4 linked regions of the Struthio camelus genome follow. The protein of the gene in region 1 purifies or fractionates together with the protein of each later gene. This does not show direct contact. Links are inferred from orthologs where the notes say so. Each region holds a gene or a part of one and is shown in the gene's direction. Other genes may lie near its edges. The genes, in order: ADRA1D, SNTB1, SNTB2 and UTRN.

Region 1 (7,702 bases):
TTGGACCAGGTCACCACTGTCCCACATGTGGTTCGGGGACCGCCAATGGGTCTCCTACCGGAAGAGCAGAAGGTGACCTCGAAGGGATCATAAGCAGTTGAAAAGCAGAGCAAGAACTAAGCATACACATTCACATACATGGAAGAAAACTGATAAATGCAGTAACCATGTTGATGCAATAATGGCTGAGATGGTTGAAGGGAACGGGGAAACCAACGGGAATGACAATTTACCATACATTTCTGGGTAATTTTAGGTAGGTGTCACAAGAGGGTCGTCTCAGTTGTTTTTTTTTAACCTCCTTTTTCCGTTAGCTAATAAAAGCTATTTCCTTTCCCCATCCTGCTTGCCTCATTAATTAAGACATAAACATTTAAAATGTAGCCTGATTTTACTGGGCTTTAAATAAAATTGCAGCAACGCCAACCAAACAAACCATTAATTTCAGGGTTGCTTTTTTTGTTGTTTTACTTTGTTTTACAAGACAGCTGGGCCTCCGGCAGCACAGGTTTGACTCATCTCTTGCAATCACTTCCAGTTCATTTTTTTAATGTGCTTGAAGACCTGGTGTCAGCTGGGGATAGGAGCTGGGAGAGATAACCTCCAGCTGGACATGGCCCTGCTGGGACATGCGGCAAAGACTGGCCTTGGCCAGACTCCTTTCCCTGGAGGATCTTTGAATTGCCTGCCCCCAGCAAGGCTAGCCTGTCTTTACCATCACTTCAATGTTATCAGTTCAGCACTGGTGTGTATTTAATGTGAGTAGGATCCGTCTCTCCTAGCTCTGGAACCTGGAGATGCTATAGGTATCCGCACCTGAGCTAATCTTCCTGGAGAAAGGGTACAGCGAGGGCACAATCCGTCCCATCCCTGAAACACGTGAATTGTGCTCTCAATATCCCTGCTCTTCCTCCAGAAAGAGGGAGACAACTTTGCACGGCTTTCTTTCAAGCTGGCGGAAAATGAGGCCGCACTCTGAAAGCTTGTGTACCGCTGAATGAGGCAAGTGTGCAAGGAAAGGAAATAGCTTTTAATAGACCGAGTCCATTTACGCAGCAGAGGGTACAAACGAAAGCGTGAGTTAATACACCCGCCTGAGTCGGCAGAGCGGACGCCGGTTGCTCAGGGTGGATGCCGGCGCCGGCGGGTGGGACTCACTTGATCCATGTTGCTCAAATAGGTCAATCACCATCAGCATCTAGCCTCGATCTCTCCCGGCTGCGGCTTTTGTCAATCTGGGCTATATGCAAATTTTTGATCGAAATATTTTAAGCTGCGGTCTTTTGCACTGCAAAATTGCCTTTCCTTTTCAAGGCTCGGGCTTAGCGTGTAATTACCGAGCGACAAACACTACCACGTGCTTGCTGGCTTTATGTCTCTTTCTTTTATTCAAAAAGCCCCATTCACACCACTATACGGAGCTACTCTTGCCTGAAATTTCGAGTCCTAGGATGAACTCTATCCCCAGCTAGAGGATGAAAAAGAGGGAGGAAAGAGCTGTAACATGTCAAAAGGGGGAAGGAGCTGTACTTCCTCCCAGCTCAAAACCGGCCGATTGGCAAGGGTCCATGCACTAGCAGATCTGTGTGCATTCACTTCGGCGCTTCGGTTCCTCCGTGCGGACCTGCACCGACCCTTTTATTTTGGTTTAAGTGCACTAGTATAAACCTGTTCCTCATTAGCTGAAATTAACTGCAATAGCCCTGGTTTAGACTGAAGCAAGGAAATAGATGGAAAGCAATGGGGTAACTGTACCGTAACGAGCTGATGCTCGTTAGCTGAGCCGCAGTAACCGAGCGGGACACACTGCCCCGGCTGGCAGGTAAAATACACAAGAGCATCCCACGCTCATGCACCGCAAGCAGGGCCCCTCCATCCCTCTCCTGCCCAGCAAGAAAATGCCCTGCCTCAGAAATAAAGCTCCTCAGCTTGGACCAGGGATAAAATTTCCTCCAAAGATGGCAGTTTTACATCAGGATTGATCCTGAGTGGCTTAGCTTTTCTCTTCCTCAGAGTGATGGGGTTTCGTCTGGCTTTTCCTGTGCCCCTTCCAAGCCCTGCGGTCCAAGGCATCTCAGCATCGTGGGCAAAGTGACTTTGGCTGCCCGAGAGCGGAGAGGAGGGGAGGACAAGACACGGGGCCGATGCCCTCTTGACCCTAACATCGTTTGATACGTCATTTAGGAGAAGCCTTTCCTTTCCAATCAAAAAGGTGGTTTGAATCCTGCTTTACGAGAGAACTTCAACTCAGCCTTAATTTTGGAGCAAGGCACATGTTTTCCTTATCTCTGTGTGTCACTGGGCAGATTAGACAAGATATATTTATCTAGACAGCTATCTGTGTAGCTGCAAAGAGACAGCTACAAAATTCCATGGATTGAGATCATCCCATGCTGAGTTTAGCATCCCAGTGCGAAACAATACTTCATTTTGCTGGCTGACATGTTTTCATCGAAACATAGGGAAGATGAGTAATTCGACCTCAAAAGTTGGGTGTTTGGTGTTTTTTTTTTTAATTCACTTTAAAAAATATATTTAAAAAAAAAAAGCAAACAACAAAACTGGCCTTCTGAACATTTTCCTCGTACAGTATTTGTTCCTGTTTGCTTGTGTTTCCTAGTTGTTCTACATTTCTTCTTCCCAGCAGGGTCAAAAATCCAACTCTAGGAAGGAGGGTGAACCCCTAAGGGACAAAAAAAGTGCATGAAAGAAATAAGAAAGAAAGAAGATCAAAATGTGTCATTTCCTGACATGATTGTCAAGGAAAATAAGGAAATAAACATAAAGTTTTTCTTTTTTTTTTTTTTTTTGACCACTCACATCACCAAGCGAATTAACAGACTTGGTCCTGCTCTATCAGAGCAACAGTTAAAACACCTTGCTGTCCACTTGGACTGCTTTTTAGAGCAATTTTTTCAAGACAGAAAAGTTGAAAAATCACGGATAAACACACTCCAAAGAAATATTTCCTGTGTATGGCAGGAAGGAGCCAAAGAAAAACCCCTGTTCAACACCAGGGTCAGTCCCCATTGCAATGTGTGGAGGCAGGAGGGTAGGGTCACTGGGAGAAAACCAGTGTAAACAGGATCTGCTGTTATCAGTGGGAAAAGGCCCTGTTTAAATTAGCTAGAAATATGCGCCTATATGTTTTAATCACAAGTTTCGGAGTCTTGCAGCAGGGCTAAGTCGTAGCAGCGAACTAGAGGATCACAGGCTGTCCCTGAACACAAGGCACTGGTCTTTCCTTCTGCTTTTACAAGGGACTTGTACTAGGGACAAGGGGCAGGCCACGTCTGCAGCCCCGTCTGGTGCTACCTGGGTGCAGGTTGGGCTGGAGTCCTCGGCTTAGGCGGCAGGGCAGGACTCGCAGGGCTGGCCTGGGAAGGATGGTGCCCCTGCACGCTGGCTGAGAAAGGAGGCTCAGCCTCGCAGGGTGTGGGACACTGGACGTGGGTGGGGAGTTTCCTAGCCTTGCAGGGCATCTTTCTTGGTGGGACACTGGTGTGAGGGGGGAACTTGCCAGCCTTGTAGAGCATCCCTCCTGGTGGGATGCCGGACCTGGGCGGAAGGATGGGGGGAGTTTTCCAGCCTGACGCAGTGGGAGCTTGTCAGCGTTGTAGAGCCTCTCTCCTGGTGGGAAGATGGACCTTGGGGGGAGTTTCCCAGCCTTGCAGGACACCTCTCGTGGTGAGCCAGCGGGACATAGGGGGAACTTGCCAGCCTTGGAGAACATCCCTCCAGGTGGCATGCTGGACCTGGGGGGCGAGGAGGGGGCGGGAGGCGGGGGGGAGTTTCCCAGCCTTGCAGGGCATCCCTCCTGGTGGGATAATTCGCGCCGCCGGGCCGGCAGCCCGCGTGGGGCCGGCAGCGCGCGTGGGGCCGCCGCACCGCGCCGCGGGCAAACGCTGCCCTCTGCTGCCCCCCGGCGGCGGCGGGCGGCGCGACCGCGCGCGACCGCTCCCACGAGTGGGCGCCGGCTGCCGCGGGTGGGCGCTTGCCCTTCTCCCCGCCCTCCCCCACCAAGGCAGCGCTTGCCCTCCCCGGAGTGGGCACTTGCCCTCCGCCCAGGGGGCTCCCGCCCTCCCCCGAGTGGGTGTCTGCCTTTCCCCGCGTGGGCTCCCCCGCAGCGCTCCGCTGGCACCGCGGCCGGCTGAGCCTCGCCCGGGCCGGGGACGGGGACGGGGGGTTCGGGAGGGAGGGGGGGGTCGCCTCTGCTTGCAAAGTAGCAGTTGCCTCCTCCTCCTCGTCCTCCGCCTCCTCTTCTTCCTCCTCCGGCAGCACCTGATGCGCTAAGGCTTCTTGACCCCCCCCCCAAACCCCGTCCCTCCCTCCTCCTCCTCCCCCCCCCAGCCCGTCCCACAGCCCCCCCTTCCCCTCCTCTGCCGGAGCTCTCTCTTGCAACTGGGAGAAGCCGCCCGGAGCCGCCAAGCGCTGCCGGCCGGTGCCCAGCGCAGCCCCCGGCCTCCCCCGGAGCATGCAAGGGCGGCGGGGGGGCTCCTTCCTCCCTGCCCCCCCGGCTGGGCAGGAGGCTCGGGTGAGCGGCAGCGGGAGGGAGGCAGGGAGGGAGCGCAGCCCCCGCCCGATGTGAAGCTGGGCGAGGGGAGAGGGGGGTGGGTGGGGAGGGTGGTTGGGGAAGAGCGCCGGGGGGGGGGTGGGAGGGGGAGAGCCGGGCACCCTGCCTTCCCCCTCCTTCTCTCCTTGCCAAGGGGTGGGTGGTGGGGGTGAGGTGGTGAGCGAGACTCGGAGCGGGCTGCGGGGGATCATGCCGGGGGGGCTGCGCCTCGGCATCGCTTTCGCCGCCGACGCATCGCCCTCCATGGAGCCCGGACTTTTTCTACAATGACTTTCCCCGAGCCGAGCAATGCCAGCTTGAGTGGGAACCGGACGGGGCAGGGCAACCAGAGCGGTGCCAACCAGTCCTGGGGGCTGCAAGCCGAGGACCCCTCCGACGGCAATGGGACCACGCTGACTTTCACCTTGGATGTGCAGGCGGTGGGAGTCGGGGTGTTCCTGGCCGCCTTCATCCTCTCGGCCATCGTGGGGAACATCCTAGTCATCCTCTCGGTGGCTTGCAACCGGCACTTGCAGACGGTCACCAACTACTTCATCGTCAACCTGGCCATCGCCGACCTGCTGCTCAGCACCACGGTGCTGCCCTTCTCGGCCACCCTGGAGGTGCTGGGCTTCTGGGTGTTTGGGCGCATCTTCTGCAACATCTGGGCAGCTGTGGACGTGCTGTGCTGCTCCGCCTCCATCATGAGCCTGTGCATCATCTCTGTGGACAGGTACATTGGTGTCAAGTATTCCCTCAAGTACCCCACCATCATGACAGAGAGGAAGGCAGGGGTCATCCTCGTGGTGGTCTGGCTGTCCTCCATGGTCATCTCCATCGGGCCACTGCTGGGATGGAAGGAGCCACCACCACCGGACGAAAGCATCTGTAGCATCACGGAGGAACCAGGTTATGCCTTGTTCTCCTCCCTCTTCTCCTTCTACCTGCCCCTCATGGTCATCCTGGTGATGTACTTCAGGATCTATGTGGTGGCCAGGAGGACCACCCGGAGCTTGGAGGCGGGGGTCAAGAAGGAGAGGAATAAATCCATGGAGGTGGTGCTGCGCATCCACTGCCGGAGCGTGCTGGAGGAGCCTCTCTCCAGTGCCCGGAGCAAGGGGCACAACTTCAGGAGCTCCCTCTCTGTGCGACTCCTCAAGTTCTCCCGTGAGAAAAAAGCAGCCAAGACTCTCGCCATCGTCGTGGGCGTTTTCATCCTCTGCTGGTTCCCCTTCTTCTTTGTCCTGCCTTTCGGTAAGTCACTCCTTTCCCCATCCCAACCCCACTAGCTGTGGCTGTGCTCCTGGGGACCTGCTCCTTGGGACAAACTTTGAGGACACGATTCATGCATGGAGTCAAGTCATATATACCAGATAGATGAACAATACAGCAACAGACTGATTAAATTAATTAGCACTTATTCGATATTTATTAGTCAAGTTCATATAACCAATCAAAATAAATAGCAGCCAAATAAAATAGCAACGTAATCATTGATTTAATTAATTTATCATTTATTCAGCACTTCAATTAGTGAAGTTAAGACTGGGGAGAGAGAAAGCAGATTTGTCTCTAACAGACTATACTTATGACAAAGCCGTCTCCAAACAACTTTGTAGCCTCTGCCTCCCTCCACCACTTCCTCCCGGTTCGAGGGAGGGCACCTGGGTCTGATTCCCTGTGACCAGTGCTCCCATCCCTGCTGTGAACTGCCGATGATGTTGGAGAGTGAGTGAGGCTTGATCCCCCTGAGTGAACTCCTCTGGTGGAGAGTGTTTCAGATAGAGGCATGGCCAGGGTCATGGCCAGGGTTAGTTTAGGTGTGCCTGGCCTCCACTATGTAGCTAGCCTGAGCCAGCAATTTGGGATTTGGTTTATGCCATGCAGAGGAGGAGGGCATGGCTGGCTAGGAAGTATCCCTTTCAATCTGGCTCGGGTGGGGGCCTGGCCTCTGCCCTCCCTGTCTCCGCTAACTTCCCGGGATGCTGATGTCGCGCATGGATCTGGACCTGGACCAGGTCTTATCTGCACTGGCATGACGGCGCTGGGCAATTGCCCAGCACTGCTCCTGCTCCACAAACTGCAAAGGGGAACTGCTGCTCCTCCCGGGTGAGTTGCACCCTCCGGTCCTGCCCCAGCTCTCCCAGCCCTGACAGCGGGTCTCTGCTGGTGGGTTCTCTCTTTGGGTTGTGCCGTAAGTTTTGGCAAGTTCTTTCAAAAAAACACCTAACTCAGGAGGCCGGGTTAACCCTGTGGAGGGATGTAGCTGAACCAGGGGGATAAAAGTTAAAATAACTTCCAAATGCTGGCCTTTGTGCAGAGCTCACAGAAGCAGAGAGGTCTGCTACACCAGCTGAGGCTCTGTCTGCTGTGTGTCCCAGGACCCTCCTGGGACCTCAGCAGTTGTGTATGAATAATCCCACAGCCAGGGAAATGTTGTAGCCAGATGTGCAATTTTTCTCCGGATTTTTCAAAGCTTCTTGCTTAAGGCTTCCTCACAAGTGAATGGAAACAAAGCACCGTGACCAAGGGAATAATTTCCCCTCTGGCACTGCTGAGCTCTCCCCAGGGCACAGCTGGAGCCCAGGGCCATTAGACACCTAACTGAAGCCACTCAATTAGGAAATGGCCCTCAGGTGGAATAATTCAGCCCTGGGACTGATGATGTCTTGAAAGCTCAGGTCTCCCTGAGGTGGCAGGTAGGCTGTGAGGGGTGTCTGGTGTCAGCACATGGCTACTGTGCTTTTGAGCTCTCTGCCTCATTTTCTAGGTGAGGATGGCATTTGGTGAATGTATCTCAGCTTTCTGAAGGAGTAAAACCGTTGCTGCTGTTAGAGGTTTTTACCATATGTGAGCAAGGAAGTATGCGGTGTGACTTGAGGCAGTGAGCAGCAGGGCTGCTATGAGCTTCTCTTGATGTAAGACCCTGGCTGTGCCTCAGTTTCCCTTGCCATGCTCAGGCATGTCAAGGGATTTTTAGTAGTCTGCAAAGGGTCTTGAAATTGTGGGAGTCATGGAGGTGCCAAATATTTGAAGGTTGATCTCTGTGGACAGCAATGAGGCTCTGACACAGAGCCCCAGCCCAATGCTTGCCTCTTTGGCCCATCAGAAAGGTAGGAACCAGCTCTAAATCTCATTCCCAACTTTTCG
Region 2 (7,457 bases), on another chromosome or scaffold:
CATAATGCAACCTCTAGATTATGAAGGTCTTCAGGCATTCCTGACATCTTCATAACCCCAGCAGAGACAATGAGTAACGACAGCCGCACGCTGACTTGAAAGCCAGCAGGCTCCCTCAAGGCTAAGGGGTGGATTGCTCAGAGCGGTTAAGAGGGTGCAAGCCCCCACTAGCAATGCCTCGGGCAAGCGATGACCCAGGTCAAGCGAGAGGTCCACCTCCTGGTGCAATGGAGACATCCGCATCATGGCTGGAGCCGGGACTGCTGCATCCCAGCACGCAGAGGAGTGGTTTCCCTGGGGGAGTGAGGAGGGATAGTTTTGGCATGTTCCTCAGCAGGACTTACTTAAACTTGGCTCCTGCAATGTTTGGGATCACTGGAGGAACTGGACTCCTTTCCAGCTCTCTCATTACTTGTCAGGCTTCCAGCACTGGGCTTCCAATGCCGTCCTTCCTTCCTGTCCAGAACCGTCTGCCGTACTGGTTGATGTCAGGGTAACAATATGGGAACGTCATTATCCAGGCCTGATTTTGTCTGAACTCTTGTCATTCCTCCTGTTTCCAGTTAAAAAGAATTTCAGATGAACTGCTTTTGAATAATTGTTGCTAGGCTGGCAACAAAAGAAGGAGGGACAGCAGCGCTATATGGGTTTGAGTTGTCTCTCAAAAGTCCTATATGTGGCCTTGCAGTGTTCTTGCTGTCAGAAAGTCAGTTTGTTTACATAAGACGTGCATACTGACCTCTTTGCCTGAAAACAGGAGAAAACAAGAAGAGCAGACAGTGGCCTGAATTTCTGTCTCCAATACGTCCCTCCAGTCAAAGCTGTGTCTGAAGAACTTCCTCAGTGTCACAGTCACAACCATTTCTGCATTGCTTTTCCTATATTTTCTATTCTCGCATGCTCACAAACTACTAAGCCCTTCCCCTTGCTTCTGCAAACAAAGAGTTCCTCAGGTACCATCACTTTGCTTGTGACCTGGATTTACTTTGGTGATCTTTGTCACTGGAGGTAGCTTCTGTGTTTTCCAACTGCCTCTCTTCTTCCACTTTGCTGATACTTCTTCCGCCTAGCCCATTGGCCTTAAATGAACACCCAGGTGTCCGTAGACCAAAGATCGATTCAGCAGCAGCTATTAGCATTATCTGGCTTAATAATTTGTTTATATTACATGAATGAAAGGGGCCGTGATCTAGTTCAGGCTTTTGTGTGCTCCTAAAATATAAATGGTAACAGATGATTGACTTGTTTGAAAGGGTACGCTTGTTGTGGTAGACGCTTTCAAAAGGGCAGGTCATCTAGAGCAACTTTTTCTAAGCTGTGCCTGCACTGGAAGCCTTTCTAGACACTCGAGGCTGGAGCAGGGAAGGTACTGAGCCCTCTGCTCATCCCACCTAACACCTCGGCTTCCTCGCAAATTGTCACGACTACCCTGAACACTCCTATTGCAGTGGGGTTATTATGGTTTATGTCACATACATCACCAGGAGGAGAAGTTTTGGCTGAGACTAAGAGTTTGCACCCTGTCGTGCCCTAAAAACCATTGGGGACCAGCACTGGACTTTGCAGTAGCAGTTTTCTCTGTTGCTAACCTGACTACTCAATAGCTATACACCTGTGTACAAATCTGTTTTTATCTTTTGCGCCTGCTCCTGTTATATTAACCTGCATTTCAGAAGCTGCTCTTCTAGATGTGATTTACAGACCTGAGGCAGGGTCAAGGACGGTAATGTTGGCTGGGATCGAGGGGAGAAGTCTCATCACGCCTTTTCTTCCTTCCCCATACTCAGCAGCCACAAGTTGCTATTGGGGTGCATGCAAATAGGAGCTAGCACCTCCCGGGACAGAGAAGCAAAGACTTGAGGTATCAATGACTGCAGCCTGTCTCCAGGCTGCGAGACAACCCAGGAGACTGTTTGCCTTGTGACTGTACCTTAGCATCCCTTCCACTATCTTCTTTTTACTTATATTTTTAAAACTACAATATTACCTCTATTTTCTTACAGTTCCAAGGTGGGGATGAAGGGGGAGGAGGAGGCAACGAAGATTGCTATAAAGACTCTTTCATATGAGGCACTAACACCTCAGGTGCTGGCACTGGGAAACGTTATTATTTATCTCTGCTGGAGTGGGAAAGGAAAATAGCTGGAACAAGCACAGTTCTCAGTGACATGCAGTGAATTGTCTATACAACACTGTTCCACGGGAACTCCACAGGAAAACCATTCACTCTGAGCAAACACGGGCCAGCTGCATCGTATACTGATGGAAAAGTGCGAAGCATTAAGAATTTCCTTTCCATTCTGCATTACTTTTTAATGACAGGACAGAAATCATTTTTTCTTGTAAATTTTCTGGAATGACTTTAAAAAATACATAGAGACACATCTCCATTAGCAGTAGCATTGATTCTTTAGTAATACATAGGAAAGAATATGAAATAATGGGTAAGAGCTAATCCCTTGAGAAACAGAAATGCCTGATTTTGTAACTTGGCCTGGTCACTTACAGCTGCAGAGCAATTTGAGTGCTGTGATAGTCCGCACTGCAACACCTAATTTTTGCACGCCTTTCCTTTTCTCCTCATCCTTGCTCTCAAGTAACTGAAGCTGCTGGAACCCAATAAGCACATTAATTCTCTAAGCCTGGCACCTTTTGGAATGGGATTTAAAAAAACCACCCAGGATGCTGCACAGGAGCTACCTAAATTAGCTAGCAGGAAATACTGGAGAACAGGGTGTGTTACACCCTATTCCTTTCTTAGGGCTTAGACATCTTATTCAGGTTTAGTGGGACACTCTGGATTCACAGCCCTGAATACTTAATTATAGCTTTTCTACCTTGCATTAATTAACGTGAGAAATTAAGAAACCTGTCTACGGTCTGCTTTCTCCACCCACCTGCTATCCTTGAATAACCCACGGCCTGTGGGTTAGCGCTCTCCTTCCACCCCGGTTTGCATTCCTGCCAGGGGAGGAGGCACCACAGGCTGCCGATGAAGGACAGGGGCCCCCTTCCACCGGCTTTTGCTGGGAAGGGAACGCATTTTTTGTGGTCCTACAGACCCTGCTAAATCGAGGCACGATCACGAGGGGAATAGCCAGTATGCAGATCCTTTGCTCAGCCCGTTAACCTGAGAGCAGCGTACCCAGAAGTGTACCCAGAGCCTACCCAGAAGCAAAACTGCAGCGTCAGAAGTGAACGGCACTGCTCTAGAGAGGAGCAAGATGCTGCACTTCAGGCCCCGCGTGCTCTGAGGAGCACGTTAAGGGGAATTAATATTAATGGGAGCTGTACCTCCCGCTCACTGTGCACCACACGCCCAAATCCCCCAAAGCGTTGCTCCCACACACACTGAACAGTCCAGAGCTGTTGCGCGGTTCAATCCAGCTCATGAACGAAGCGGGAGCCAGGCCACCGAAAGGGCAGTTCAGGAGCTATGCAGGGACCACAGAGTGGCACCGCCACAGAGCCAGCGACGCCAGGGCTGGTCCAGGTCCTCAGTGCGGCAGTGTTGTCCTCCTTTGCGCCCGAGTTGGAGCCCTGAGGCCTGCACCGGCACCTGAACTGCTTCCCAGGAGGATGGGAAACGCGGGTCTGCGAAGAGGGAAACACAGCCTTCTCAGGCCCTAAAACCTGGTCATGAAAGGGTGAAGAAAACAGCCTCAAAACGTACAAAAGCATCCCTGACAGTCATTCACTACCTTCATCCTACACCGTTCAACGAGTGCGGGAGTGATGCTTGGGGGGGGGGGCGGTTGGGGTAGGATGAACTGTGCAGCTCCCATTGACTTTGTCATTCACTACCTTCATCCTTGAGGGATACTGCCACAGCTTTCATTCTACTTTGATACAACTGAAATTTAGAGGATATTTGTGCCACCTATGTGTTTCAATCCACCTATTTTAAAGAGAGGCCTCTCTTTTTCTCCTTCACACAGGGGAAAACAAACTCACGTTTTAGCTAAACCTCTTCTGCCAATACCCGCAGATCCTCATTGATTTATTTTCCCTCACGGCTCCATGCCCTTAACTCAGAAGGCGAGCTGCTAACTGTCTCTCAGGAGGTCCCTCCAGCGGTGTATGATGGCAGGCTCCACCCGAGGAGAGCCACCCGTTATAGAAAAGAGTAAAGAACGGGGTAATCTGCGTTTTCCCTTCTTCCCGAGTCGGGAGACGGGGACCGTGAGTACTTCGGCGATTGCTTTTATCAGTGGGCCCGGCTGGGAAGCGGCAGCCCACCCGGTTGTTCGGACGTAGCCTTGGCCACCTCGGGCGGGCTGCTCCCACGCTGACACGCACCCGCGCGGCGGCGGCGGCGGCGGCGGGGGCGGGCGGTGCGGCCCGAGGGGGCGGCCGCTCCGCCCCGCTCCGCCCCGCTCCGCCCCGCTCCGCCCCGCTCCGCCCCGCTCGGCCGCCGCCGCCGCCGCCGCGGGGAGGGAGCGCGCCCGCCGCCCCGCGGGTGAAGTCCGGTGCGCCGGGGCCGCGCCGGGGCCGCCGTGGCTCGCCGTTTCCAGCATGCTCCAAAGATGGCGGTAGCGATAGCGGCGGCAGCGGGCGGCGGCGGCAGCGGCGGGCGGGGGCAGCGCAGCGGCTGGCTGGAAGTTTTGGTGCGGGAGCGTTGGCACAAAGTGCTGGCCAACTTGGGCGGCGAGGCGCTGGTGCTGAGCGGCGAGGAGCGCCCCGACGGCGCGGCGCACAACGGCCTGGGCGGCGATGGGGCGGCGGCGGCGGCGGCGGGGAGCCGCGGGGCCGAGGGCGGCGGCGGGGCGGTGCGCACCGCCTTCACCGACCCCCCCGAGCAGGTGCCCGAGGCCGTCTCCAACAAGAAGCGGTGCGTGAAGGTGCTGAAGCAGGAGCTGGGCGGGCTGGGCATCAGCATCAAGGGGGGCAAGGAGAACAAGATGCCCATCCTCATCAGCAAGATCTTCAAGGGGCTGGCGGCCGACCAGACCCAGGCCCTCTACGTGGGGGATGCCATCCTGGCCGTCAACGGCACCGACCTGCGTGATGCCACCCACGACGAGGCGGTGCAGGCGCTCAAGCGGGCCGGCAAGGAGGTGCTGCTGGAAGGTAGGGGCCGGGCAGCCTCGCCTGCCCCCCCTCCCCGGGGGGCAGCTGCTCAAGGGGTGGTGGAGCCGAGCGGGTCGGGGGTGGGGGGGGGGGCGGAGATGCCTCCCGGCGCAGGGCCGCTTCTTCTCCTTCGGGTGTCGTTCCCGCGGCGGGAGTTTATTTTCCCTGCCCTGCGCCCCCGAGCTGCGCGGGGATCCCCGACGACGCGTGTTCAGCGTTTAGCCCCTCGTTTAGAGGAGCTCCCTGCCCCGCCGGGCACCCGGGCGTTAGCCCTCGTCCTCCAGACGGCTGGCGACGTGCCCCGTCCGTGCGGGACGGCGGAGCCCCCAGGCCGCCCCGTCCGTGCGGGACGGCGGAGCCCCCGGGCTGACCCGTCCGTGCGGGACGGCGGAGCCCCCAGGCCGCCCCGTCCGTGCGGAGCCCCCGGGCTGACCCGTCCGTGCGGGATGGCAGAGCCCCCAGGCCGCCCCGTCTGTGCGGAGCCCCCGGGCCGCCCCGTCCGTGCGGGATGGCGGAGCCCCCAGGCTGCCCCGTCCGTGCAGAGCCCCCGGGCCGCCCCGTCCGTGCAGAGCCCCCGGGCTGCCCCGTCCGTGCGGGATGGCAGAGCCCCCAGGCTGCCACGTCCGTGCAGAGCCCCCGGGCCGCCCCGTCCGTGCGGGATGGCAGAGCCCCCAGGCCGCCCCGTCCGTGCAGAGCCCCCGGGCCGCCCCGTCCGTGCAGGACGGTGGAGCCCCCAGGCTGCCCTGTCTGTGCGGGGCTGCGGCTCCCCGCCGGGTCGGCTCCCGTGCTGAGGGCCCGCGGTGCGAGCGTGCCGCATCCCTGCAAAGCGGAGGGTTTCGTTTCACTCTCCTGCAGGGTGGCAGGGAGAGTTTTGTAAGAAGCAGCTTCAGGAAGCGAGCCCAGAGCACAGTTGTGGTACGCGTAGGAGGGAGGGTGTCCCCCAAGCACAGATGCCGGGGACCGGAGTGGTCACAACGAGCACAAGGTTCCCCAGGACACCGAGTTCATGGAGAGAGACGCGTTCACATGCTTTTAATCGTTGTCTTTTCACAAGGATTAATTTAGTTGCTAGACCTCCGAGAATGTACAGCTTCAAAAATGCCCTTGGCGCGTGTTTGAGAAAGCGATTACATCTTTGCCCAAAGTTCATTGCCCCAGAAGTGGCTGGCACTGGGACACGCTGCTGTGCCTTGCCCTGTGCCAGCTGCCTTCCCTCTGGGCCGCAGGCCCTGCTGGCTGATCATTCCCGCAGCCCTTTGGGTACCACATGGTTTTGTCTCTTGGGGCACCGAGGATCTTTTGCTCTTATCCTGAGGAGCAAAGGGAAGCGTCACTGCAGGTAATGGAAACACACTTGAGGATTAGCTGTGAACAACCAGCTCCAGCATGAAGTTAGGCACAAAGCTCAAGAACAGGTTCTGTGCACTAAAGCAAGGGCAACAGAGACAGTTTTGCTTGGGTCTACAGCCGTGTTTATTGAGAAACTATTTGATGTTGTCCACATTACTGTGAAAACTGCAAAGGAGGTGTTACCCCAGAGGGTTTTCACGTGCTGTGGACCATTGCCTCCTTGTTCTCTTGGGTATAACCCAGCTGCGTTTCTTCTTCAGCAAAACCACTTACGGAGATACCTGCAACGTCTCAATGTAAAGTTCTCTCTAAGCTCTGAATTGGGACTATTTCATCTACATTTTTTCCTTGATTTGTTTACACAACATAAGGACTTCCTAGGGTGCAGGCCAGACAGAAGCTGACCTTTGCTGTGATCTAGTGAGTAATGTATATACTGCTTACAAAACTCTCTCCTGTGAAGCGCATGCAGTAACACCACCTGAACACACTGCTGCTGTACAAGTCTTTTAAAAGGCTCGGTTTTGTTCCCTGTAGGAGCGAAGATCAGGTAGTTTCAGCACGGGCTCTTAGCACCCTCCTTATCTCCGCTGCTTTTACCATGCAGCTGTTTTCTTGGATTTCTTTGCTCTGTGGAGGTGTAGGCTGATGTGCTTCAGTGATTGTTTCTGCAGTACAGTTGTCGGAATTGTTAATTTGTAGATCCAGAGCAATTTCAGTAGTCATCCTTCTGTGTAGTTAAAATATTCTGACACTGTACTGTCTATTTTTCCTGGCTTTCTCCTGCTATTTTAGCAGTGTAACCAAAATCAGAATTGTCCAAGGTGTTGCCCCAGGAGATGCTATTCAGTTCAGCAGGGAATCTCTCTACATGAATGGCTTGTGTAAACAGGCGGTTTAAAACAATTGTCTGAGATTCAATTTCCCACTTTGAAGCTCTTTCTTCAGTAATGGTGTAAAATGGTCTTTTTATTACAAAAGGAAGGAAAAGCAAAAGTTTTTTTTTTCCTTTAAAATATAGGAGGGAGAGCCTTGTA
Region 3 (7,771 bases), on another chromosome or scaffold:
AGACAGCTAGGAAGAGACAACTCCACGCTTTCAAGATCTGCAAGAAGTTCCAGGTGGGTGTTGCTGTGCATGTGCTGTCTCTGAGGAGGGGTGGTGTTGAGGAAGGGGGTGCCCTGGACCTGTGGTCTGCCCAGGGGAGCAAGGAGGCTGCTGCGATGCTGTCAGGATGCCCCGCTAGCTGGAAGGAGCCACAGGTGCAGAGGTGATCCTGCCACAGGCTCCCTCCTTTGCTGTTTCTGGAGCAAGATGCCTGCTGTCCTGGCATGGTCTGAGCGCAGCCTTCCTGAGCTGTTCCTCAACTCTGCTGGTGTCGTATGTGCTCTCAGTGCCCCAGCAGCTCTGAGTCTCTATGTCCCCATCACGGTGCAGCCGCTTGCTGTCCATCTCGCGGGCTCTGATTTTTCCCCAGCAGCTCTCTGCAGAGCACGTCCCTTAAGCGATGTCCCTGGTTAAGGTTAAGCCAGAGCTGCCTTGCAGCCAGCTCCACGTACGTGGTCGAACCCAGCAAGCTGAGGCAGGGCAAGGAGAGACATTGCCCTGTCCCTGGCAGGGCTGTCATCTCCTGTCCCCTCCCTGCCCTGCAGCCCCTGCTCTTTGCGGATCTGCTGGATGAGAACTGCCTTGTGATGGTGGAGCGGCCCCTCATGGACATCAAGACCCAGCTGCCACCACCCATCCAACAGAAGAAATTTGGCACCTAAGAGCAGAACAAGTTGCTCCAGCCACAAAAACTGTGTATGTTACTTTCCTAGGATGTTGTAGTAATAAACCCCGTTGTTCTGTAGGGCTGCGTGCTCAGGCATCATCCTTGCCCTGTGGGGCTCCCTGCTGTCTGAGCAGCAGCAGGTCAGATTGGCTCTGGCCTGAGTCTGAATCAGGAGCCAAGGACACCTTTGTCTCGTAGGACTCCCCTGGTCATGCCTGTCCTGCTGTCTGGGTTGCTCATTGGCAGCGACTGGTGACTGCGAGGGCTAGGCATCGTCCCAGATCTTCTACCTTCTCTGTGGCTGCTCTTCTGGGAAACGTCAGGCCCCGGCGCTGGTTTCTCTCTCCTGGTGCTGTCCCGGGCAGCTGCAAGATGGGTTTCGTGACTGCTGGTGGCTCTGCGTGGGACAGAGGGGGCTCCCATCCCCTCAAACAGCAGTCACGTTCACGTGTCCCGCCAGGCGGGAAGCCTAGTGAGCTGGGCTCCGGATGGACAGAGGGGTGCCGAGTGCCTGCTCAGCAGGGCAGGGACGGGCAGTCCCCATGTGCCCTGTCCTGACGCCTGTGCAGTGCGCTCCTGCTCTGCCTCGAGAGAGGGTCGGACGGGAGAGGCAGGGCCGAGCGGCTTGTTAGCGTTGTAGTCGTGCATGGCCACAGCCGTTTTTGCAGTGCTGGTGGGCGCAGGCTGACGGTGGGTGAGCTGCCACGTGCCGGTGCGTGGAGCAGCTCTCCTGCCCCTGGCCTTGGGAGGGGACACCAGGACCGGGGTGTGAATGCACACGCTCTTGCTTTGCAAACTTTTCCTCGCTGCTGTCGCTACCTCCCCTCATCGCTTGGCCCTCCTGCTTCCCAGCCCCTGCTGCGGAGAGGAGAGGAGAGCGCCCCATCTGGGTGGCTCGATCGGGAGGAGGGTGCTGGAAAGCTTTTGGCATGGGGAGCTGGCAACGCGCAGCCGCGGGAGGAGAGCTGGCTCTCCGGGGCTGCGGCGGTGTCGGGCGGCTGTCCCCGCGCTCGGGGCTTGGCGGTGCCTCCGGAGGAGGACGGGAGCGCAGTGAGGGCTGCTGCTGACGTTCTCCACGCCGAGCTCCTGCTGCAGGGAGGCAAAGCCCGGCCTGGAAGCAGCCAAGGGTATTTAGCCGTATGTGTTTGGGTGCACCGTCCTGCCCAGTTGCCCTCTCTGTGACAAGGCTGATGCTCGCCCTACCGTTTCAGGAACGGGTACCAGCCCCGTGCTGCTGCGCTGTCGTTTCCCTTCCCTCCTTCAAAGTCTCCTATTCCGGCCAGCTAGATTCCCCTCCAGCTGACAGGCCTCCCACGAAGCACCGTTGCAGTCCGTCTCGCCCCCGAGGCTTGCGCTGACCGGGCTGCCCCCGCTGCCTGCGTGTGGCCGAGGCCAGTCCTTGGACAGCAAGCAGCCTGGGGGCCGGACTGCCGACGGATCGGGGAGGAGGATCTGGTCACTGCAGCCTTGCGAAACTACAGGCTCCGAAAAACGGGGGCAATAAACAGCTGCCGGTTCAGTATCGTAGAAAAAAAAAGAAACGCGAGCAAAGCTCTTCTGTGGGGAGAGAAGATTTATGAAACGGTGACTCAGGATGATGTTTATTCTCTTGCAGAAGCTACTCTGCAGCGACCACTGTCCCTCGCGCGTGCATCTTCCCCCCGCACGCTGCCAAGCGGCCTCCCCTGGTCTCCTATCAGCAAGGCAGGGCCCTGGGGCGGCGGGCGCCCGGGAGCCGAGCGCAGCAGCGGCCGGGGTCCCCGAGCGGGCAGGCTGGCCGCGCTGCTGTCCAAGCGCTTGACGAACCCTGGGCGTAAATGAAGGTGACGGGATAGGGGTGTTGTGTAACGGGAGCGTTGCCCCCGTGCTGGTAACCTGCCGAGCTCGCCGGCGCCGGTGCGTTGCGGCAGCCACTCAACGTCTGACTGCGAAATCTTTGCTCCCCGCGCGAGTAATTCCTTGATCGGCCGTTGCGCGAGCAGGATGCAGGGACGCTGGCCCGCAGAAGGAAGTTGCTTTCCTGGGGGAGAGGATTTCTTTGGCGGAGTTCCCCCTAATGCTCTGGCTTCGCTCGCTAAAGCAGGAAGAGCTGTAGGGCTGGCGCGCTCCGTCCGCCCTCTCCTCGGCGTCTCGGCGGCCGAGCCGCTGCCTCCTGCGGGGACAGGCCAGCAGCTCGCCCCGGCCTCGGGGCCTGCGAGGTGGCGCCGGGGTGGCCGCGGGGCTCCAGCCCTGGGCGGCTGGTGGTGTCCCCGTGCCGCTGTCCTGCCGCCGGAAAGGCAGGCTGCGCCCGGGGCAGCGTGGCCCTGGGGACAGCAGTCCTGGCCCTTTGGGCACGGTGTGAGCTGAGGACAGCGTGGCCCTTTGGGGACAGTGGTGCTGGCCCTGGGGACAGTGTGGTTGTGGGGACAGTGGTGCTGGCCTTGGGGATGGTGTGGCCTTTTGGGGACAGTGTGGGCCTTGAGGGACAGCGGTGCTGGCCCTTTGGGGATGATGTGGCCCTGTGGGGACAGTGGTGCTGGCCCTTCGGGGGTGGTGTGGCCCTTTGGGGACAGCAGTGCTGGCCCTTTGGGGGTGGTGTGGCCCTTCGGGGACAGTGTGGCCCTTCGGGGACAGCAGCGCTGGCCCTTTGGGGATGGTGTGGCCCTTCAGAAACAGCATGGCCCCTTGGGGACAGTAGTGCTGGCCCTTGAGGGATGGTGTGGCCCTTTGGGGACAATGTGACCCTTTGGGGACAGTGGCACTGGCCCTTTGGGGATGGCGTGGCCCTTCAGGGGCAGTAGTGCTGGCCCTTTGGGGACAGTGTGGCTCTTCAGGGATGGCATGGCCCTTCGGGGACAGCGGCGCTGGCCCTTTGGGGATGATGTGGCCCTTCGGGGACAGTGTGGCCCTTCGGGGACAGCAGCGCTGGCCCTTTGGGGATGGTGTGGCCCTTCAGAAACAGCATGGCCCCTTGGGGACAGTAGTGCTGGCCCTTGAGGGATGGTGTGGCCCTTTGGGGACAATGTGACCCTTTGGGGACAGTGGCACTGGCCCTTTGGGGATGGCGTGGCCCTTTGGGGATGGCGTGGCCCTTCGGGGACGGTAGTGCTGGCCCTTTGGGGATGGTGTGACCCTTTGGGGACAGTGTGGCTCTTCAGGGATGGCATGGCCCTTCGGGGACAGCGGCGCTGGCCCTTTGGGGATGGTGTGACCCTTCAGAAACGGCGTGGCCCCTTTGGGGACAGTAGTGCTGGCCCTTGGGGGACAATGTGGCCCTTTGGGGACAGTGACTCTTCGGGGATGGCGTAGCCCTTCAGGGACAGTAGTGCTGGCCCTTTGGGGATGGCATGGCCCTTCGGGGACAGTAGTGCCGGCCCTTTGGGGGACAGTGTGGCTCTTCAAGGATGGTGTGGCCCTTTGGGGACAGTAGTGCCGGCCCTTTGGGGGACAGTGTGGCCCTTTGGGGACAGTGTGACCCTTTGGGGACAGTAGTGCTGGCCCTTTGGGGACAGTGTGGCCCTTTGGGGACAGTAGTGCCGGCCCTTTGGGGGACAGTGTGGCTCTTCGAGGACAGTGTGGCCCTTTGGGGACAGTAGTGCTGGCCCTTCGGGGATGGTGTGACCCTTCGGGGACAGTGTGGCCCTTCAGGGACAGTAGTGCTGGCCCTTTGGGGACAGTGTGACCCTTTGGGGACAGTAGTGCCGGCCTTTTGGGGGACAGTGTGGCCCTTTGGGGACAGTGTGGCCCTTTGGGGACAGTAGCCCTTTGGGGACAGTGTGGCCCTTCGGGGACGGCGGCGCCGGCTCGGGCGCGGCCCGCCCGCGGGCTCCCGCCCTGAGGAGCGCGGCGGCGGCGGCGGCGGCCTGAGGCGAGCGCGGGGGCGGGGCCCCACCGCCCCTCCCCGCCCCGTCCCTCCGCCTTACCCAATCAGAGCGGGGGGGGGGCTGAGCCGAACCCCGCCCCTCCGAGCCGGCGGGCGACCTATCAGAGCCCGCCATGCGGGCGACGGGAGGAGGGGGCGTGGCCTCGGGGCCGCCGAGCGCCGCCCCGGGGTGTGGGGGGGGAGGGGAGCGCGCGGGGCGGCGGCGGCGGCGGCGGCGGCGGGATGGCCGTGTGGACCCGCGCCTCCAAAGCGGGGCTGCTGGAGCTGCTGCTGCGGGAGCGCTGGGTGCGGGTGGCGGCGGAGCTGAGCGGCGAGGCGCTGAGCCTCACGGCGGAGCCGGGCGGCGGCGGCGAGGCGGCGGCGGCGGCGCTGAACGGCGTGGCCAACGGCGCCGAGTGGGGCGGCGCGGAGGCGGCGGCGGCGGCGGTGCCGGCGGGCGTGCGGCGGGTGCGGGTGGTGAAGGCGGAGGCGGGCGGGCTGGGCATCAGCATCAAGGGCGGCCGCGAGAACCGCATGCCGGTGCTCATCTCCCGCATCTTCCCGGGGCTGGCGGCGGAGCGGTGCGGCGCCCTGCGCCTCGGCGACGCCATCCTCGCCGTCAACGGCGTCGACCTCCGCGACGCCACCCACGACCAGGCCGTGCAGGCGCTGAAGCGCGCCGGGAGGGAGGTCGTCCTCGAAGGTACCGCCGCGTCGCGGCCCCCGCTGCCGCTTACCGGGTGTCCTGCCCCTCCGGCCCGGCCCGGCCCGGCCCCGTTACCGGGTGTCCTGCCCCTCCGGCCTGGCCCGGCCCGGCCCCGTTACCGGGTGTCCTGCCCCCTTGTCCCGTTACCGGGATCCTGCCCCTTCCCCCAGCCCGGTTACCGGGTGCCCCCTCCCCCTTGTCCCGTTACCGGGTGTCCTGTCCCCTTGTCCCGGCCCGGTTACCGGGTGTCCTGCCCCCTTGTCCCGTTACCGGGATCCTGCCCCTTCCTCTGGCCCGGTTACCGGGTGTCCTGCCCCTTCCCCCGGCCCGGTTACCGGGTGTCCTGCCCCCTTGTCCCGTTACCGGGTGTCCTGCCCCCTTGTCCCGTTACCGGGATCCTGCCCCTTCCCCCGTCCCGGTTACGGGTGTCCTGCCCCCTTGTCCCGTTACCGGGTGTCCTGCCCCCTTGTCCCGTTACCGGGTGTCCTGCCCCCTTGTCCCGTTACCGGGATCCTGCCCCTCCCCCTTGTCCCGTTACCGGCTGTCCTGCCCCGTTGTCCCGTTACTGGGATCCTGCCCCTTCCCCCAGCCCGGTTACTGGGTGCCCCCTCCCCCTTGTCCTGTTACTAGGATCCTGCCCCCTCCCCCGTTGTCCCGTTACCGGGTGTCCTGCCGCCTTGTCCCGTTACTGGGATCCTACCCCTTCCCCCGGCCCGGTTACCGGGTGTCCTGCCCCCTTGTCCCGTTACTGGGATCCTACCCTTTCCCCCGGCCCGGTTACTGGGTGTCCTGCCCCCTTGTCCCGTTACTGGGATCCTGCCCCCTCCCCCTTGTCCCGTTACCGGGTGTCCTGCCTCTTGGTCCCATTATTGGGATTCTGCCCCCTCCCCCTGCCCGGTTACCGGGTGTCCTGCCCCATCCCCGGATCCCCCCCCTCCTGCCCTCTTTCCCGTTACTGGGATCCTCCCTCTCTACCGGCCGGCTTACCGGGTGTCCCACAAGCCCCCCAGGCCACGTCCCGTTACTGGGGTCCTGCACTGCTTCCCTGTCCCCTCACCCCGGTCCTGCACTTCCCCTGTCCCGGTTATCGGGTGTCCTGCACGTCCCGGGCTTCCCTTCCCGTTACCGGGGTCCTGCCCCCTTCCCGGATCCCCCCTCCTGCCCCCTTCCCGTTACTGGGGTCCTGCCCCCTTCCTGGATCCCCCCCTCCTGTCCCCTTCCCGGATCCCCCCCTCCTGCCCCCTTCCCGTTACCGGGGTCCTGCCCCCTTCCTGGATCCCCCCTCCTACCCCCTTCCTGTTACTGGGGTCCTGCCCCCTTCCCAGATCCCCCCCTCCTGCCCCCTTCCTATTACTGGGGTCCTGCCCCCTTCCTGGATCCCCCCTCCTACCCCCTTCCCGTTACTGGGGTCCTGCCCCCTTCCTGGATCCCCTCCTCCTACCCCCTTCCCGTTACCGGGGTCCTGCCCCCTTCCTGGATCCCCCCTCCTACCCCTTTCCCGTTACCGGGATCCTGCCCCCTCCCCTGTCCCAGCTACCAGACTCCCGGCCCCCTCGCTGTTACCAGCTTCCCGGATACCCCTTGTGTCCTCGTCCCATTACCGGGGTCCCTGACACCGCCCGGGATCCGCTCTCCCGTTACGGGGTGCTGCACGCCCCCCATCCCGGTGACCGGGCACACGGGCAGCCCACGGGTCGTCCCCGGTGCCGGGACCCAGCCGGCTCCCAGTGGTGTCCCTGCCCGCCGTGGGGACGGGGACACGGACATCCCACCCCGGTGGCGGTGTCCTCGCCCAGAGCAGGGGACGGGGACGCCCTCTCCCGCCCCGGCATCCCTGCCCCAGCCGGGGACAGGGGCAGGACACCCCCCCGGGTGGGCTCCCCATGGCGAGGGGAATCACGTCACCCCGGGTGGGGGGTCTTGGGCTGCCCGCCGCCAAGCGGGACAACCCCACGGGCTTTAAAACGGAGGCCCGCAGCCGCGGGGAAGCCAGCAAGGCGGGGTGGAAGGAGCGTGCCGGCCGGCTGCCCCGTGCGGCTGCGCCCGCTGCTGCGGAGCACCCGGCTCCTGCTGGAGGTGAAGCACGGCCCGGGCTCCTCGGGGGAACGCTTTCCTTGCAGTTAGTTGTTCCCATGCCCGCACCACGGCTATTCTTGGAGTCTTCTGTTTTTATTAATTGTGCAATTTTGTGGCTAAGAGTTGCTGACAGCGTGAATTATCTGCTAGCGGAGGGGGTGACCCTTTCCTTTGCAACGGGCTTGGCTCCTGCCGCCCCTCTTTGCTGTTGCATCTCCTCTCGAGAGGAGGCCTAAGAAGCGAAACTAGCTGCCTGGCGTCTGGGGGAAGCTGGGCCAGAGAAGCTGCGGCCGGCGCAGAGGTGAACGCGGCGCCTTCGCGTCGGGTTTCCGTGTGCAGCGATGCCGCTCTGTGCGGCGGGGCCGTGCTCCGCGCGCGCTGAAACGGGAGTCTCCGGAGAGCGCCCGCCGGGCTGCCCGTGAGAGGAAGGGTTTGCGCGGGG
Region 4 (7,117 bases), on another chromosome or scaffold:
CTGCCGCACAGCCACATAGGTGCTATTTTAATAGAACCAAATCTGTCGAGCACAGTATTACTAAAACTCTTTGCATGCTGAGCCTTTTGTGCAAGCATTAAGATGATATTTGTATGTTATCCATAGAGCTCTAATAGCTGTAATACTTGAAACAATGTGTGTTCTTCTCCCCCCCACTCCACCCCACAGTAGCAAAGGCTTAACTATTACTATACTGTTAATTCACTTTTCAAAAGAATGTTTCATGCTGACACAAACCTGCTGTGTGAAAGAAGGTTTCGAAAGAGATGCTAGAAGTTCTTTGTTATCCATCCAAAGTTGTTGCTGCTCTGGGTTTTCTGGGAGTAGGGGGTTGAATTAATTACCAATTTCCACCAAAATTAGACAGGCACTTGAAACATTACTTTCTGTTTCAGTTCCTGTCGCTGCCTTTTCAGCATCCTTCTCTTTAACATTGTCCTCTAAGCTCTTTTATTTGCTTACTGAAGTTCCAGAATTGTTTGATCTGCTAATTCAAAACGTGTTTGTTGGGCCAGTGAAAAAAATCTTGTCATGTTGTTGTGGTGAAATAAAACCTTGTGAATAAAATTATGGGTTATTAATATCACACAGCATGAGAAATGCTTAACTAGAAGCTCATTATAGCAGTGTTATAAAGTGGAGGCCTAGAGAGGTAGTATAAAAACCTTGCAGAAGAGCATGCTCCTTCTCTAGGAAGGAACAAGTCCTTGGCTTTAGCATGACGAACAGGGGAGGAAGGTTATGGAGGAACTCTACATCTACTTGTTCTTCTCCTATAAGAAATCTTATACATTTTTTTTTGTTTGTTTTCTTCCTCGGTAAAACAAGCCTTTCTTTGCAGACTTGTCTGGATGGGTAGAAGTTCAGAGAAGGGTTAACCCAGGCCTACTTGGAATGAGGCTACAAGAAGGGAGGCGGTGAAAAAGTAGCCAATTTCCTCTTCACTGAGTCAAGGCATTAAAGGGACTTGGAAAGCTCCCAGGACCAGAAAGCAAAGAAGAGATGGAAACCAATCGTATTCAACACTGTATTGTTTACAGAGGATTTTATAATTAAAGGATGTTGCCTTCCACTCCCATTATTGTTTGCAACTGTGAACTTAATTTCGTTTTGGACCTGGTGCTGACTTCGTGTCTGCTGGGACCAGGATAGAGAAGTGATCTTATGTGTTTATGAACTCACCTTCAAATGACCAGATGCAATCGTTTTTCTGTTTTTCCTCTACTTTTTCTCACTTTCCTATTCCCTATTTTATGATCTGAGCTATTGATATATGATGTTTTCATGTATTAAGTTTATAATTCAGGTTCTTCTAGAAGAACTGAGGTGCCATTTAAGCTGCAGTCCTTCTGAAAACTTGAAGTGACTTTTGTTTTGTGTTGGCCCTAGCCTTGTTCTTCTCCATGCTTTGTAGTATGCAGGTGAATATTAAAACATATGATTTCTGCTCACTAGGCTTTTACTCAGCCTTCACTCTACTTTTATTTTTCCACTGTAGTTTCAGCTGGTCTGTTTGGCTGGTCTTTTTATCTTACATGACGGTAAGAAGGCTAGGGCAGGCAGCCAGTTGCTGTTGAGCTATAATAGAGGCAGTGGTATGTACAAAATTTCATTACTGCTGTCAACACCAGAGTGAATAAAAGAAAGCACATACTCTAGACAGAGAGCTGCTAAATAAATCGCCTATTGAATTCAGTAGTGGTAGGAATGAGACCGTCTTCCCCTAATGAATGAAGTGTTTTATGGATGGTATGTTGAACTCTTGCATTTGTTTAAAAAACTGAAAATCCTCTTTTGCCTTCTTCTAGGATTACTTTCCCCATGGCTACCACTTCTCTCTTGCTTATCAGTTCTTGTGGTTAACACATGGGTTTCACATCCAATACATTAGATTATGGCAGAGGCCCAAGCCTCACTATTAAAAAATATTTCTGCCATTCTAAAGCTAACTTCTTTATGGATGAGTTCTGATGTGAAACTAACTTATACCCATAATTCTGCCTCTATCTGAATAAGAAATTTATTTTGTTCAAAAAAAATCTTTCATAAAGCAGTAAATGTTCTCAATGTATATTATTATTAAAGTGTTGGATTTTTGAAGTAAAACTTGGTGTTGGATGAAACCAGTTTCACTAAGATGTGCTATCGAATTACTGCTGGTAAGAAAAACTCAAGAGTTCAGGTTCTGTGAAAGCTCTCTGGTGAATTAACGTTTTCCCCTCATCCCCTCCCTGCCCCCCCATGCCTTAATACTGAAATTCCAGGAGTAATGAAGGCTCAGAGGGGTACTCAGTGTTGCTCTAACTTCTCTTACTGACTGCACCATCCTTTATTAAGGAATGGAAAGGGTGAAAGTGTTGTACCAAAACAATTAATTCCTGAAACTTAAACAACATAACCTTTAGTCTTGGCAAGTATCCGATGAGCAGAGTCTTAATGTGTTTGTGTATGGGGCTTATTGTTCAGTAGGCAAGGGCTATGTGCGGTAGGTGAGATGAAACGTTGGATCAGCGGAAGGGCTGTCTCTTAAGGAACGCAAATCAGTCTCATTAGGACCTGAAGAAAGAGTTTAGGTGCTGTTTATAATGTTTAGCATATGTACCTGACCTCCTGCTAATTTTGATTCTATATTCCCTAGAATTGGCAACATCTTTTTGTTGTGTGCTTGTAAATTGCTTGAACCAACAAGGTTTGGATTTGTATTTGCCATTGCAAAATACATCATTGTTGCTTGTTCATAAATATCTTTATGTGAATCCTGGTTTTAATATTTTATTTCCCTTCCCTATTGCTCGTTTGTTGTACAGGCCACAGAAAAGTTTGGATACAAATGTCTGGTTTAGCCCTGTGTATGTATGGCTGTCTTTATTCATGGAAACAAGACGCTTTTGTGCAAATGTTTCAGGCTTCAACTATGAAGAATTGTTAAAATAGAAAAATCCAAAGTAAGACCAACTAACCGAAAGGGGTTAAAAGAAAAATCTTATCTTGAGCTCTTCCCCCCTCCCCCACCCCCCCCAACCTTGCCCTCAGTGTCTATCTGGTATGTGACACAGTAAACTTTCCCAGCTGAATATGCATAAAGAGATAAAAGCAGAATTTAGAACAGTTGCCTTACAACACAGTGCGCCAACACAGATAAACCAAATAGCATCCCTGTCTTACTGCTTTTGAAAAAATTCTATATGTAACTCTTCTCTGGTTGTAATGCTTGTACTTCCATGTTATTTTTATTCCTGCCTTGCATTACTTTTTTTGTGACTAGTGGAAATCTATACAGTTTAATATCCTAAAATGGATCATTTTGAATCGCATACACTTCACAACTACAGGATTAAAAAAAATCTCAATTTGATTCTAAAGTTGACAACAGGATATTGAAGGGGGAGGGATTGGTTTTGCCTTCTGTCATCATGGTCAAAGAAGTTTAAAGGCCTTCTTCTAAAATAACTGACATACCCTTACATTATGCAGCTTCTGCCTTACTGTACTGTGGCATGTTTTGTTTGCAATTACTGCACAATGGAAATTGCATACCGAATCAGAGTTTGTAACTGTTGCATTGGCATAGAGGTTTATCTGCAGATCTTGCTTTTTGTGCTGAAACCTTGCATTACAATTTCCATGTGCTTTGTTAAAATACCAGTAAAAGATGTGGATACTTACCAGGATTGATGTTCTGTCAAATGCGTAGAAAAAGTGTTGCAGTAATATTATAAGCTTTTTGCAGAGTTACTGTTAAATGCACAGGAAAATTGCTAATGTATTTCCTACTTTCTGTACATAGAAACTTGTGAATGCTTTGAAAGCCTAGAAGCACTCAATTTTCATAAAGATGGAGAAAGCGAAGTGAAATAGTCATCTGTGCATTTTTCTTTCTTTTCTTTTTTTTTTTTTGAAACTGTTAATTAGCCTTAAGTCTATTGTTGTTTATTTACAGTCTTTAACTGTAAAAAGTTTGTTTCCTGACTGGTTTGTCAGTCACTCTATGGCTGAATATGTCAAACTCTCTGAGGAAAACCAATGCTTCCCTCCCCCTCAAATCCCAGCATGCACTTCTTGTGTGGGTATTAGTGTGTACTTCCTCTACATCTTCATTTTCCTGTTTCTGAACAGTAAGCTTGGTCATGAATGTTCAAACAGCCAAAAAAGCTGTATGGAAAAAGCACAAGCTTGCTATGCCTTGGAATACTGTCACACAGACTTGTTATCCTCCACCGGGTGAGTGCATGTTTAAATATGTTTTCAAGGCTATGATGGATAAAGGGATCTAACCATGTGCGTCTGTTTTTGTCTTCTATACCTGATGCAAACTGCTTTTATTAACTTGATTCAAGTTTGCCGAACCTAATAGCAACAGGTTGTCAAAGACGTGGTAAGAAACAGTCCGAAGGAGAGACCGTTTGCAGTCTGTTTTTTGTGGCACTCCTCCATTGCGAGCTCTGTACTAATTGTGGCTGTTTAACATCTACAAGAGGCACTTGGTAGTGCTTTTGTCGTGGGTTTCCTTTTTACATAAAGGGTATTATTTTTTTTCCTCCACAGTGATTCTGCCTACTTCTTCATTTTTTTCTCCCTTTCTAAGAATAGGTTCTTAAACAATGGAAACATGATATGACAGCATTGGAAGCCTTAATGTCCCTACTTCTCTGAAACTGTACATCACGTCAGTGATTTCAATATTTAATTGTATTTATTCTCTGCAGTTCTGCTTACTATACTTCCTGAGACTGTTGGATGTACATACTTATAACAGTTCCAGCCCCCCTTACAGTACAGCATATGATCATGGTGGGATTTTTCTTTTGAGTCAAAACTGGGGAAAGGAGGGGTGTGTGTGTGTGTGTGTGTGTGTGTGTGTATCTGTTCTAAGTTTGGAATGTCCTGGGAGCAATATTTCCTGTAATTTGGAAAGAATTTTTGTGGGGCTTTGAGGAAGAAGAAATTGGGAATGTTTCTCTTTCCTTTTCTTCATTCCGTCCCTTCCTACTCACCCTGGTTGAAATTTCATGGGCTCAATATTCATCTGCTTCATGATGGCCAGGGCCAGATAAGCTAGATTGGCATGATGAACAGGATTTGAAGATTCTGAATACTTGTGAATATGCCTTAGAGACACAGTAATTGACAAATAGGGACTGATTATTTTGTGAATTGGTGTCAGGGCTTCATTGATGCAGAACCTACTGATCAGTAGATTTATTATTATTATTTTTTTTTTTGAAAAAGCTATAGTCTGAGTATAGGTTTATAGAGCAAGACAACAATTCACTTAAGCCTTAGAAGCAGAATTACTAATTTTAAATAGAACAAAATGATGCGCTGAGACTCTAGTCTTACTTATGCTTGCTTCTGGTAACGCTGAGGTGGATTTGGAGATATGCCAGTTTATATAAGATCAGAAACTTTTCCTTTAAGGGCCAATCCAAACGGTTAAAGTTGAGAAAAATGTCAAGAAAACTCATTACCATTAATGGATTTGCTTTTGTCAATGAGTTTGCAGTTTTCACTAAAAGTACAGGTCAGAGAGCCATTTGATGTTGTTCAGAATCTCTAGCATGCGTTCAGCCTGCTGGTGAGATGCAACTTATTTTAGTTGACTCTCTTTTTAGAAGGTTGGAACTAGGAAAATGTCAGTATGCTTTTTTTTGTGTGTTATTTTCTATTTTTGTTTTTAACCTGGGCACATGTTCAGAAGAAACATTTGATCTGTGGTGTATGTTGTTTCTTTTTGAGAACTATTTCTGGGATTTTCTTCTTCTTTTGTAGAAGTTTGTTTTTTAGGGGAACTTAATCTTGGGAGAGGAAAGTAAGTGTTTTAACCAACCATACAATTAATTGATGAACATTAGGGTTGTGAAACCTTTAAAAAGTTTGTCTGTGGAATAACAGGAGGTGTATCCTTCTGAGCCTTTCCTTTTCAGTCCTTCAGGTATTTCTAGTAGGTAAGTGTCAGTGGGTGTACACAGCTAAGGCTGTGATATTTGTTTGTGTGTGGATGATTTATTGTAAGGGTGCCTGTTAAAATTGGGGCCAGGCTAATATATAAATTTTCCTAGGTAAGTTGCAGCTACTTGCTTGTTCAAGTGCTTTATATGCATGTGCAGATAGCACTTAATGGCCAATTCTTAAGTCCTGTTTAATTCTCTCTGAGCTGAGAGCTCTCTGTTTAGAAAAAAAAGATTGCAATATATCAGCCACAATAGAAGTGCTTTTAAGCAAGTGGCAGGGTTTTTCTATGAAATTCCCTGCATTATAATGTTCCTAACTTATCATAAACTGTAGGACTATGATCTGCTTTTTGAGGGCACTCCCATGCTGTGGGAATGACTCTGTTCTTCCAGGCAAAACCTTTCCAGCATAGCAAGCATAGCAGTATTTGACTTGATTTGTGTGTGTGCTTTTCTTTTTTTTGATTTCTTTCTCCCTTAATTGCCTGATTGTTCAGATGGATGTCACCATGTCGCTTGAGGGGATGTTCCTTACCGTGCTTTAAGGGACTAGAAAAAGATGTCAGTTATATGAAACCTTCTGAAAGGGGCTGCCCTTACAGCACTGTTTCTATAAAATGCCAACTCTTGAAGCCAATTAGGCGCTCTACGGTAATCGAATAATCTTTGTTGGCATCTTAGCAGTATACCACTGCTTATTTATTTTGCTAATTTTTCACGTAATTTTCAGCAGAAGCAAAACAAAGCAATTCACATTGTATTGCAAGCAGATTATTGTACAAAATTCCCCTCTCAATTGATTAAAATTATTGCTATTTTTTATAGCAATAGGAAATAATGATAGTGACATGAGGCATTTTGCAAACTAATATTTTAACAACGTCTCTTTTGAATTTGTGCATTTAGCTTGTATTAGCATTTCCTTCTAGCTCAGATAGCCTTGCTTTGGAAATACCAGGAACATTAGACTATAAATTAAAAACTTCCTTTCAGGTGGGAAGTAATTTATCTGTTCCCACAAGATATATGCAGTGAAAGCAGGTTGGAGTTATTTTGTCATGAGGCAAAAAGCTATTATAAAAATAAATATATTGTTTGTGTTCTTGTAAGCAATTGTGAAGCCCTGAGTCGGCTGATTTGCTTAG

The links.
Region 2: the proteins of ADRA1D (region 1) and SNTB1 purify together in Homo sapiens (tandem affinity purification; 4 studies listed by BioGRID and IntAct, with this or other methods). This does not show direct contact. The link is inferred for Struthio camelus from reciprocal best matches to the Homo sapiens genes ADRA1D and SNTB1.
Region 3: the proteins of ADRA1D (region 1) and SNTB2 purify together in Homo sapiens (tandem affinity purification; 4 studies listed by BioGRID and IntAct, with this or other methods). This does not show direct contact. The link is inferred for Struthio camelus from reciprocal best matches to the Homo sapiens genes ADRA1D and SNTB2.
Region 4: the proteins of ADRA1D (region 1) and UTRN purify together in Homo sapiens (tandem affinity purification; 4 studies listed by BioGRID and IntAct, with this or other methods). This does not show direct contact. The link is inferred for Struthio camelus from reciprocal best matches to the Homo sapiens genes ADRA1D and UTRN.

Annotation. Positions count from the first base shown.
Region 1 is NC_090945.1:83,656,390-83,664,091, forward strand, and holds the start of ADRA1D (alpha-1D adrenergic receptor), read left to right. Parts: upstream 1-4,700; 5' UTR 4,701-4,839; coding exon 4,840-5,806; intron 5,807-7,702. UniProt on the Homo sapiens protein: This alpha-adrenergic receptor mediates its effect through the influx of extracellular calcium.
Region 2 is NC_090943.1:159,111,239-159,118,695, reverse strand, and holds the start of SNTB1 (beta-1-syntrophin), read left to right. Parts: upstream 1-4,441; 5' UTR 4,442-4,526; coding exon 4,527-5,070; intron 5,071-7,457. UniProt on the Homo sapiens protein: Adapter protein that binds to and probably organizes the subcellular localization of a variety of membrane proteins. May link various receptors to the actin cytoskeleton and the dystrophin glycoprotein complex.
Region 3 is NC_090951.1:1,656,840-1,664,610, reverse strand, and holds the start of SNTB2 (beta-2-syntrophin), read left to right. Parts: upstream 1-4,769; 5' UTR 4,770-4,790; coding exon 4,791-5,250; intron 5,251-7,771. Other genes in the region: UTP4 (U3 small nucleolar RNA-associated protein 4 homolog), read left to right, coding at 1-53, 585-701. UniProt on the Homo sapiens protein: Adapter protein that binds to and probably organizes the subcellular localization of a variety of membrane proteins. May link various receptors to the actin cytoskeleton and the dystrophin glycoprotein complex.
Region 4 is NC_090944.1:84,645,736-84,652,852, reverse strand, and holds the start of UTRN (utrophin), read left to right. Parts: upstream 1-4,106; 5' UTR 4,107-4,148; coding exon 4,149-4,242; intron 4,243-7,117.